Lonchura striata: one gene and its partner. Each later gene encodes a partner of the first gene's protein in a complex. Links are inferred from orthologs where the notes say so. Each region holds a gene or a part of one and is shown in the gene's direction. Other genes may lie near its edges.

The links. Proteins that work in one complex are often made in the same cells at the same time.
Region 2: WASHC5 (region 1) and WASHC1 share a complex: the UniProt entries of both Homo sapiens proteins name them as parts of the WASH core complex. The link is inferred for Lonchura striata from reciprocal best matches to the Homo sapiens genes WASHC5 and WASHC1.

The regions. Positions count from the first base shown.
Region 1 is NC_134603.1:11,868,950-11,872,699, forward strand, and holds the start of WASHC5 (WASH complex subunit 5), read left to right. Parts: upstream 1-864; 5' UTR 865-1,019; intron 1,020-1,896; exon of another isoform or gene 1,897-1,928; 5' UTR 1,929-2,011; coding exon 2,012-2,197; intron 2,198-3,750. Other genes in the region: NSMCE2 (E3 SUMO-protein ligase NSE2), read right to left, coding at 717-824. UniProt on the Homo sapiens protein: Acts as a component of the WASH core complex that functions as a nucleation-promoting factor (NPF) at the surface of endosomes, where it recruits and activates the Arp2/3 complex to induce actin polymerization, playing a key role in the fission of tubules that serve as transport intermediates during endosome sorting.
Region 2 is NC_134607.1:11,556,480-11,560,229, reverse strand, and holds the start of WASHC1 (WASH complex subunit 1), read left to right. Parts: upstream 1-1,239; coding exon 1,240-1,418; intron 1,419-3,750. UniProt on the Homo sapiens protein: Acts as a component of the WASH core complex that functions as a nucleation-promoting factor (NPF) at the surface of endosomes, where it recruits and activates the Arp2/3 complex to induce actin polymerization, playing a key role in the fission of tubules that serve as transport intermediates during endosome sorting.

The DNA.
Region 1 (3,750 bases):
CCATTCTACCTTTCAAGGGAGGGGCACATTCCTCTCTGTAACTGGTTTCACTGCAGTGTTTCTACCGCACTCTTTTCGGCAGGAAGGTCTTCAGTGGGCGCATCAAAGCACTTATCATGTGCAACCTCCAGCCCCTTCACTTCTGGAAAACACAACCAGCAAACTCCGTGATGAATGGGAGACTATCGAGGACACTTTTTTTTTCTTTCAGGAAGTGATGAAATGGTCCAGACAGGATAAAGAACAAGATAACCCTACAGTTTCTATTCCGTTCGCTATTTTAAATATTTGAGGAAATTACCTAAACTTTCTATTCTTCAATGTCTCAATTTCTATTATTATATAGTATTCTATAGAATTCTTCAACGAGTATGAACCAGAGGTAAGAAAAAAGTATTATTTGCTTCTGTAACAGCAGCTCCACAGGTGCCAAGTGCTCTCCGAGCAGCAGGATCAGTGTCCAGCCCGGGCACACTCGGTGATGAGCGCCCACAGGGAGACGGCCGGGCGGGGAGCAAGCTCGCCGAGCAGGGCTCCGGCTCCCAGGGCCTCTGGCCGCCTCCCCGGCCAGGGCCGGCCGCCGGCCAGGGCAGGCCGGGCAGTCCCACACGGACACACGGCCCCGCACCCGCCCGCCGCCGCCCCGGAGCGCTGCCCGAGCCCGCGGAGGGGACGGGGCCGGCGGGGCAGCCCCCCTCGGCGGCGGCGCTGCTCACCTCGTCCCGCAGCCCGGCAGCGCAGCGGTCCCGGCGCGGCCCCGCGCCGCCTCCCGCAGCAACCGCAGGCGGGCAGCGCCGGCACCGGGGCGGGCGGAACCGCCTCATCAGCCGGCGCCGTCATGTGACGGGAGGGCTCGGCTACGACACAGGGAGCGCCGCCGCCTCCCTCCCGTCCTTCCCACCCTCCCTCCATCCTCCTGAGCCCGCAGCCGTCCCTGCCCGCTGGCGCTCCCGGGCGGGGCGGGCGGGGTGGGTGCCGGCGGGAGCCGCCGAGGGAGCGGGGCCGCCTGAGCGCAGACTGTGAGTTCGGCGGTGGCGGAGCGGGACGGGACGGGACGGGACAGAACGGGACGGGACGGGACAGAACGGGACGGGACGGGACAGAACGGGACGGGACGGGACAGAACGGGACGGGAGCGGGTTCGGAGCCCGTCCGGCCGCTGCCGCCCTGGAGCCGCTGTGCGCCCTGCGGAGCGCAGCCTGCGGCGGCACTGGGCACCTGGGGGGGCTCCGGCCGCTCCTTCTGGGTCAGAACTGCCTTGGGACAGCGCACTGTCAAATTATCGTAATGCTCCAGAAAGTGTTTGGTGAAAAGTCAAGCCTGGTCATAATTTTCCATAGGTGTTTTTGAAGCACAGACGCTTATTTTTGGCGCTGCACGCCGTGTCCCGCAGGAGACGCGTGAACGAGTAAAACTGAGCAGGAAATGCAAGCACAGCATGGAAGCTCGTCCTTTAGCAATAAATAATGAACGGAGCTCTGTCATTTCCATTTGCTATGAAAGTTTTCCTTATTGCTAAAGCCCTTATGATCACTTCGGTTGACTTTTTAAAGTGAATCTTAAAAACACATTTTGTGAAGTGACTTTGCTTTCCTTGGGCCCAATCTCCTCGCCTGGTCATAATTGCTTCACTATTTGTGACTGTTTCATTTTTTAATAGTGTTCTTCAACTGTTCTTCAAAAGATCACACTTCCCCTGCCTGCTCAAACAGTTCACTTCTCAAACTAAGTGTACGTGCTGAAAATGAATTCTGTGCATTTTTTCATTTCAAAAGCTGTGGATAATTTAGATTTCATAATTTGAAAGATTGGAGAGTATGCTTAAATATCCACAAATTAAATTATCAGAAACATGAATATAAACCACGCTGGATGTGTGTGGGTTTGTTTTTACAGGTTATTAATGGCGTGGCTGGTCTCTTCATCAGGCTTTCTGCTTCCAGTAACCTAAAGAGTAAGGATCAGAATCAGACTGCAGGACTTCTGCTGCTCTGTCACACTGAGCTCCACAATGGTGGATTTTCTGGCTGAAAACAATCTCTGTGGTCAGGCAATTCTTCGGATTGTTTCCTGTGGAAATGCCATCATTGCAGAACTTCTGAGACTTTCCGAATTTATTCCTGGTGTTTTCAGACTAAAGGACAAGGCTGATCAGCAGAAGTATGGAGATATCATATTTGATTTCAGTTATTTCAAGGTAAATCCTTTTATTGTTAAACTTCTCCTTAAAGCATTGCTGTCCAACATGAGGATGTTTTAGCTTGTGATACAGCCATTCCTGACTATTGTGTTTATTACTATTACATCTTCCAAAATGTTTGATGTGTCATCTGGCTGTGAATTTTGATAGATATCAATTATATAAGACATGAGTCTTGGATTCTGGGGAGGTAGTAGTAGTGGCACTAGTAGTAGTGGTAGTAGTGGTAGTGGTAGTAATTCCTGCAGGACCACTAAATTAAACTTCCTCCAGCAGGTTCTGAGGCTGCATGGTTGTTTGTTTCCCTTCAGAGCAGTGCCGTGGGCAGCATGCCCATCTTTCTTCTGTTAATCTGTAGCTTATTCTTTGCAGCCATGAAAACTGCTTTCTGCTTTCCTGTCTGACAGTGCTGTGATTGTTCTTCCTCTGGACTTGTCACATGCACTGAATAAATAAATAAATAAGTCAAGGAGAAGTGTCCATGGAAAGCCCTTATTTCTCTTTCAGAATTAAGCTTTTAATACAAAATTCCCTCTGTCGTTTTCCACCATGATTAAGAAGGAACAACAGAGACTGTCTAATCTGACTTTATTTGGACTGTCCAATACAAGAAATGTTAATAATAAAGCAAGGGAGGCACTTTTAAGTCAATTTGATTGTAGTAGGAGTTGTAAATTTCAGGCACCATGAGGTTTGGATACTGAAAATCCAGAGCACAAATGATTTCACAGTTACCTTTAGATCTAGGTGTTTGGTAGAATTTTTTTTTTTTTTTTTTGCACAAATTACTTAAAAGTCTAAAAGCAGATAGCTGTAATTGGTAAGAAATACAGTAATCCTTAAAGCCTCAGTAAATTTGAATGTTAAGAAAGCATAAGTGTGCTGTTTTTCATCATTAAAATCAAATAAATCCATAGAAGTCATACTGTTAAAGCAAAGATTAGAGAATTTGCAGATATTTTTACTGCAAATGCACCCCTTCTGTATTCACAATTCTTAGAATTACTTCTGAGGAAAGATTTGAGATTTGAAAAGTTGAGACTAGTTACTTTGTCCATTTTAACTTCATAGGCAGTTTGGCACCTGTTTTTATCCTTTGTTTTATGTAGATATTTTGCACAGAAAGAGAAGCAAAGAGTATTTTTAAAAACTCAAATTGTCAGCTGGATATTTTCAATTGCATTTTAATAGTACTTCCAATTAAACTTTAGCATTATTTTCCTTTAGTTGGTGATGCTAATACTGCGTGGTGCTTATGAGAAATACGACAGTGGTAAAGGGCTAGAAAAGTTGTATTATTGCTTTAAGGAAGTCAGGTTCTTCATCCCAAATCTTTTTCCCCCATGATTGTTAATGACAAAGTGTCTGCATTAATTCAGGAGACAAGTACTGTCTACACATGTAGAGTGTGGAAAAAACATGTCTAATATTTTGAAGCAGTTTGAATATATGAGAAGATACTACGCTTTCTGAGCCCTCAATGTTGTGGTTTCTATCTGAGAAGTCAACCAGAAGAAATGGGTAAAGGAAAAAAATTCCATCAGTGAGAT
Region 2 (3,750 bases), on another chromosome or scaffold:
CTCCTGCAGACTTTCAAGTACCACACAGGGAATGCAGTGCATCCCCTGAGATATCCCTGGCTGTTTCTCATACCTTGGTTTTTCATCCTCCTTTGTTTTGCTTCTCCTCAGCTTAATTTCTTATGCAGATGTACAGAGCTCTGTGTGATGAAACCCTGTAATGAGCACCTGTTTTTTTACAGCCTGAATGAGTAGAGACACTGACAAAACAAATTTGGAGGGACTTGTGTAGACCTAACAGTAGAGTTTGGGTTAGAAAACTGTATGGATCCTCTACTCTGTTCATATCTAGAATGTCCTAATAGTTATGTGTTTGAGAGTTTGCAATTTCTAATGTACTCAGAGAAATGGATATTTTTTTTTCTCTTTATGTTCTTCCAAGTCCAGGAATTTTTTTGTTATTTTTGTGAGTAAAGACATGGGAGGCGAACTTCTTGGGAATTGCTGAGAGAGAGGTGAGCAAAGCTCAGGATGGAAACATGGGTGGTGGGTGACATTCTCCTGGCTGAGCTATAGAGTAGTGGTATTGGCCCACTGCATCCAAAAGTGTGCATACAGCTGTGGTGTGTGGCACACAACTGAAACATTCTGGTGACTGGTTAGGCTTGAGATATGAAAGGATTCTAAAATATGGAGGCTTCTTTCAAGATAGTTACTAAGGAAAAATCCAGTCCAGAAGCAACAAAGTGCTCCTGGGTGTCTCAGAATGGAAGAACTCTCATTAACCTACTTGGAGCAAGGGGGTGGGTGCCCATGCATGCCTTGTAATTTCATGGCTTCTGTTCTTGGAAGGCCTGATGGTGTGTTTCTTGGAGCAGAGTGTAAGATGAAATACTGCCTTTTGCTAATAGGGTTGGATGACCTGAAATATAGCCACATGGAATATGAGGAAAGGGAGGAGGGGACAGGGTGATTTGTGATGAGTCTTATTGCCACTCAGAACTGACTTTGCTTCTAACTCTCATCTTTGTTTTCAGCACAATACTGAGCAGAGATTTGTTAAGTAGCATGCTAAAATAAAATTGTGGTTTCCAAGAACATTCATATAAGCAAAAGAGTCTCACCTCACTGTAGCTGCCTTGAATGTATTAAAAATCCAATATGTCAGTCTGACTACTTGTGCCTTTCTCCTCAGCTTACCAATTCTGTTTCAAATGCTTTCCTAAAATAATTAGTGGAGCAGAAAGTAGAAGTCCCTGAATAACTGCTGTGATAAAGTGGCAGTGTGTTTAATGTGTAATGACCTATTTGTTCTTTCCCTTAGGTACAATGGCCACAGAAGCCCAGAAGCACTTTTTGGAAGGGCAGACATACTCAGTGCCCCTGATCCAGCCAGACCTACGCAGGGAGGAGGCTGTGCAGCAGGTGGCAGATGCACTTTACTATCTGCAAAAGGTGTCAGGTGATATCTTCAACAGGTAAAGTGCTCTTCTGGAGGGTTGGGTGCTTAGCATTCAGCATTACAAAACAGAGTGCTGTACTTAGGTTGCAGCAGTGAAGGGGAAAGGGCATTGCACTGGTAAGCAACGGAAGTTCAGAAAAGAGATGAAAAAGGACTAGATGCACTTCAATATGAGTTTATTAGATATGAGTCTGTCAAAGTTAAGCATAATAAAATGGCTGCAATTAGTCAGAGATTGTTGGTTATTAATTTTTATTCATTTTTATCAATTAATAATTTTTTATTCCACAAATTGTATTACTGCTTCTGCAGTAATATTCCTTCTTGTTCATGTTTTGAAGGGGAGGCATTGTAATTTAGAGTATCTTGAAGATTTGTCTTTTTGAGTTATTGTACTTGAAGCAGTGAAGTAGAAAATGTCTCTTTGTTCTGATCTCTGCAATGTACAAAAGGTTCTCTTTGGGCTTCTGGTGTTTCACCCTTCCCTTTTTGTGTGTTGGAAGGGTTGTGCCCAGAGTAAGACTGGGTTTCTTGCCACAGTATCATAATCCATTGAAGTTCATCTCTTCAAGGATTTGGTCCAGATTTGGCACCTCTTACATATGATCATCTTTAGGATTAGATCTTTAAGACTGTCAATATAGCAGATCAGAGAGATTCTTGTGTTTGCTTGCAAATGATGGTAGATAACATGGTGTCTTTTTCTGTCCAGTGCCATCTTTGACATCTCAGTGCTCTGAGATGGTGCGGAATATTGTTGGGAAGGAAACAGATCAGCATTTATCTTCTCATAGTCTAATCAGTAAAAGCACATGTTTTGATTTCAGCAGGTCCTATGACTATCTAGGTTAATTTCTTTTGGTGTGAGCAGGGTCATGATATTCTGTCTTTTTTTGAGTTTTGAAAGGTTTTTTTAAGGGTAGATTGAAGTTCTGTGGTTTCTGATAATGACATTTTGAAGGGTAGCCTCTGAAGAAAGAGCAGTCTCTAAGGCTGAGCTCAGGTTATTGAGGGTAAAAAGGTTTTCCACTGGAATAGTGTTTGTTTGGGCAAGGGCTGTGTGTGGGCTGGATTAGGTTGAAGACAAGGTCTACTTCATTTGTGCTCTTCAAAGTAGGGGAACACTTCATGATCTAAGGCTGGGAGAAGGCTTTCTAGAGCTGCCATAAACATGTGGAAAGCACTTCTCAGACTTGGGCCTGGTTGGCAATACTGTCCCTCTCTGTGAGGTAAATGAAGCTCTTGATAGTACAGGAGTTGCTCTTTCTCTGTCTCCATTTTTCCCTGTTTTTTGTCTCCACACTGCTGTCTTAACACAGTACCCTGTGTAATTTCCCTAGGGAGATAAGCTTGCTGCTTTGTATGCAAGTCACTTCTGAGTACTGAGCAGTGACTGTGCTGCTGTTCCCTCACTCTTTGTGCACTCATGACTTTTAATTACCAATTTTCTCCAAAAACAGAGGAGGCTTCATTGGTTTCTTTGTTTGCTTTGCCTTTCCAGTGAGGTCTTGGCTCTCTGATATAATTAAGAGTGATTTAGTAATTATGCAGGCATGTGATGAGAAATTCCATGACCTTGGTTGTGTGGGTGCAAAACCACAAGGGAGCCATGGCTGAAACCTAGAGCATCCCCACTGAACCCAGCCTTGGAGAACAGGCCTGGACTGCAATCAGGAATCATTTAGAGCAGGATACATCAGCTCAGCATCCCTCTCTATCTTAACCCTACCTCTCAGGAGCAGAGACCTGCCTGACTTTTTTACATATGGGGAACATCAAAGCTCTTTGTTGCTGGGCAATAGAGGAGATTGATGTCTTAGGCCAGTGCTGTCCAGCAGTGCCTTCCTCTGAGGAAATCCTGTCCTCTTGGAGCTGATATCAGCGCTATGACAAGACCAAGAGGCTGCATGTCCTTCTCAAGTTTATGCTGAGAAGTAATGGAAGTTTTAAGCTTGTGCGTGTTAACTGAATCCAAGTAATTGATCATTTGTGGAAGCTGCAAAGATCAGATTCATTGCCTGTAGTTACTTAGATATTAATACTGCTTAAAATATAAATATTCTAACATAGCAAATCTGACATAATATCTGTTTGAATTTAACTCCTGGGTTTTTAGGAAGGCTTTTTGATACAGATCACAGGAAGTAGGATGACCAGTTTAAACCCTCAGTTAATGGTAGTCTTTAATCTATTTTTTTTCTCATTACTGGTATGTTCTGGGTGGGAGATTGTGTTGTAATCATGTACCTTGGAGTATTTTACAGGAATGTTGGTGGGATAAGTACTTAAAATAAGTGATGAGTTTAGATTTCCTGATATTCTCTCCTAGTTAGGTAGGCTTGTCCTTC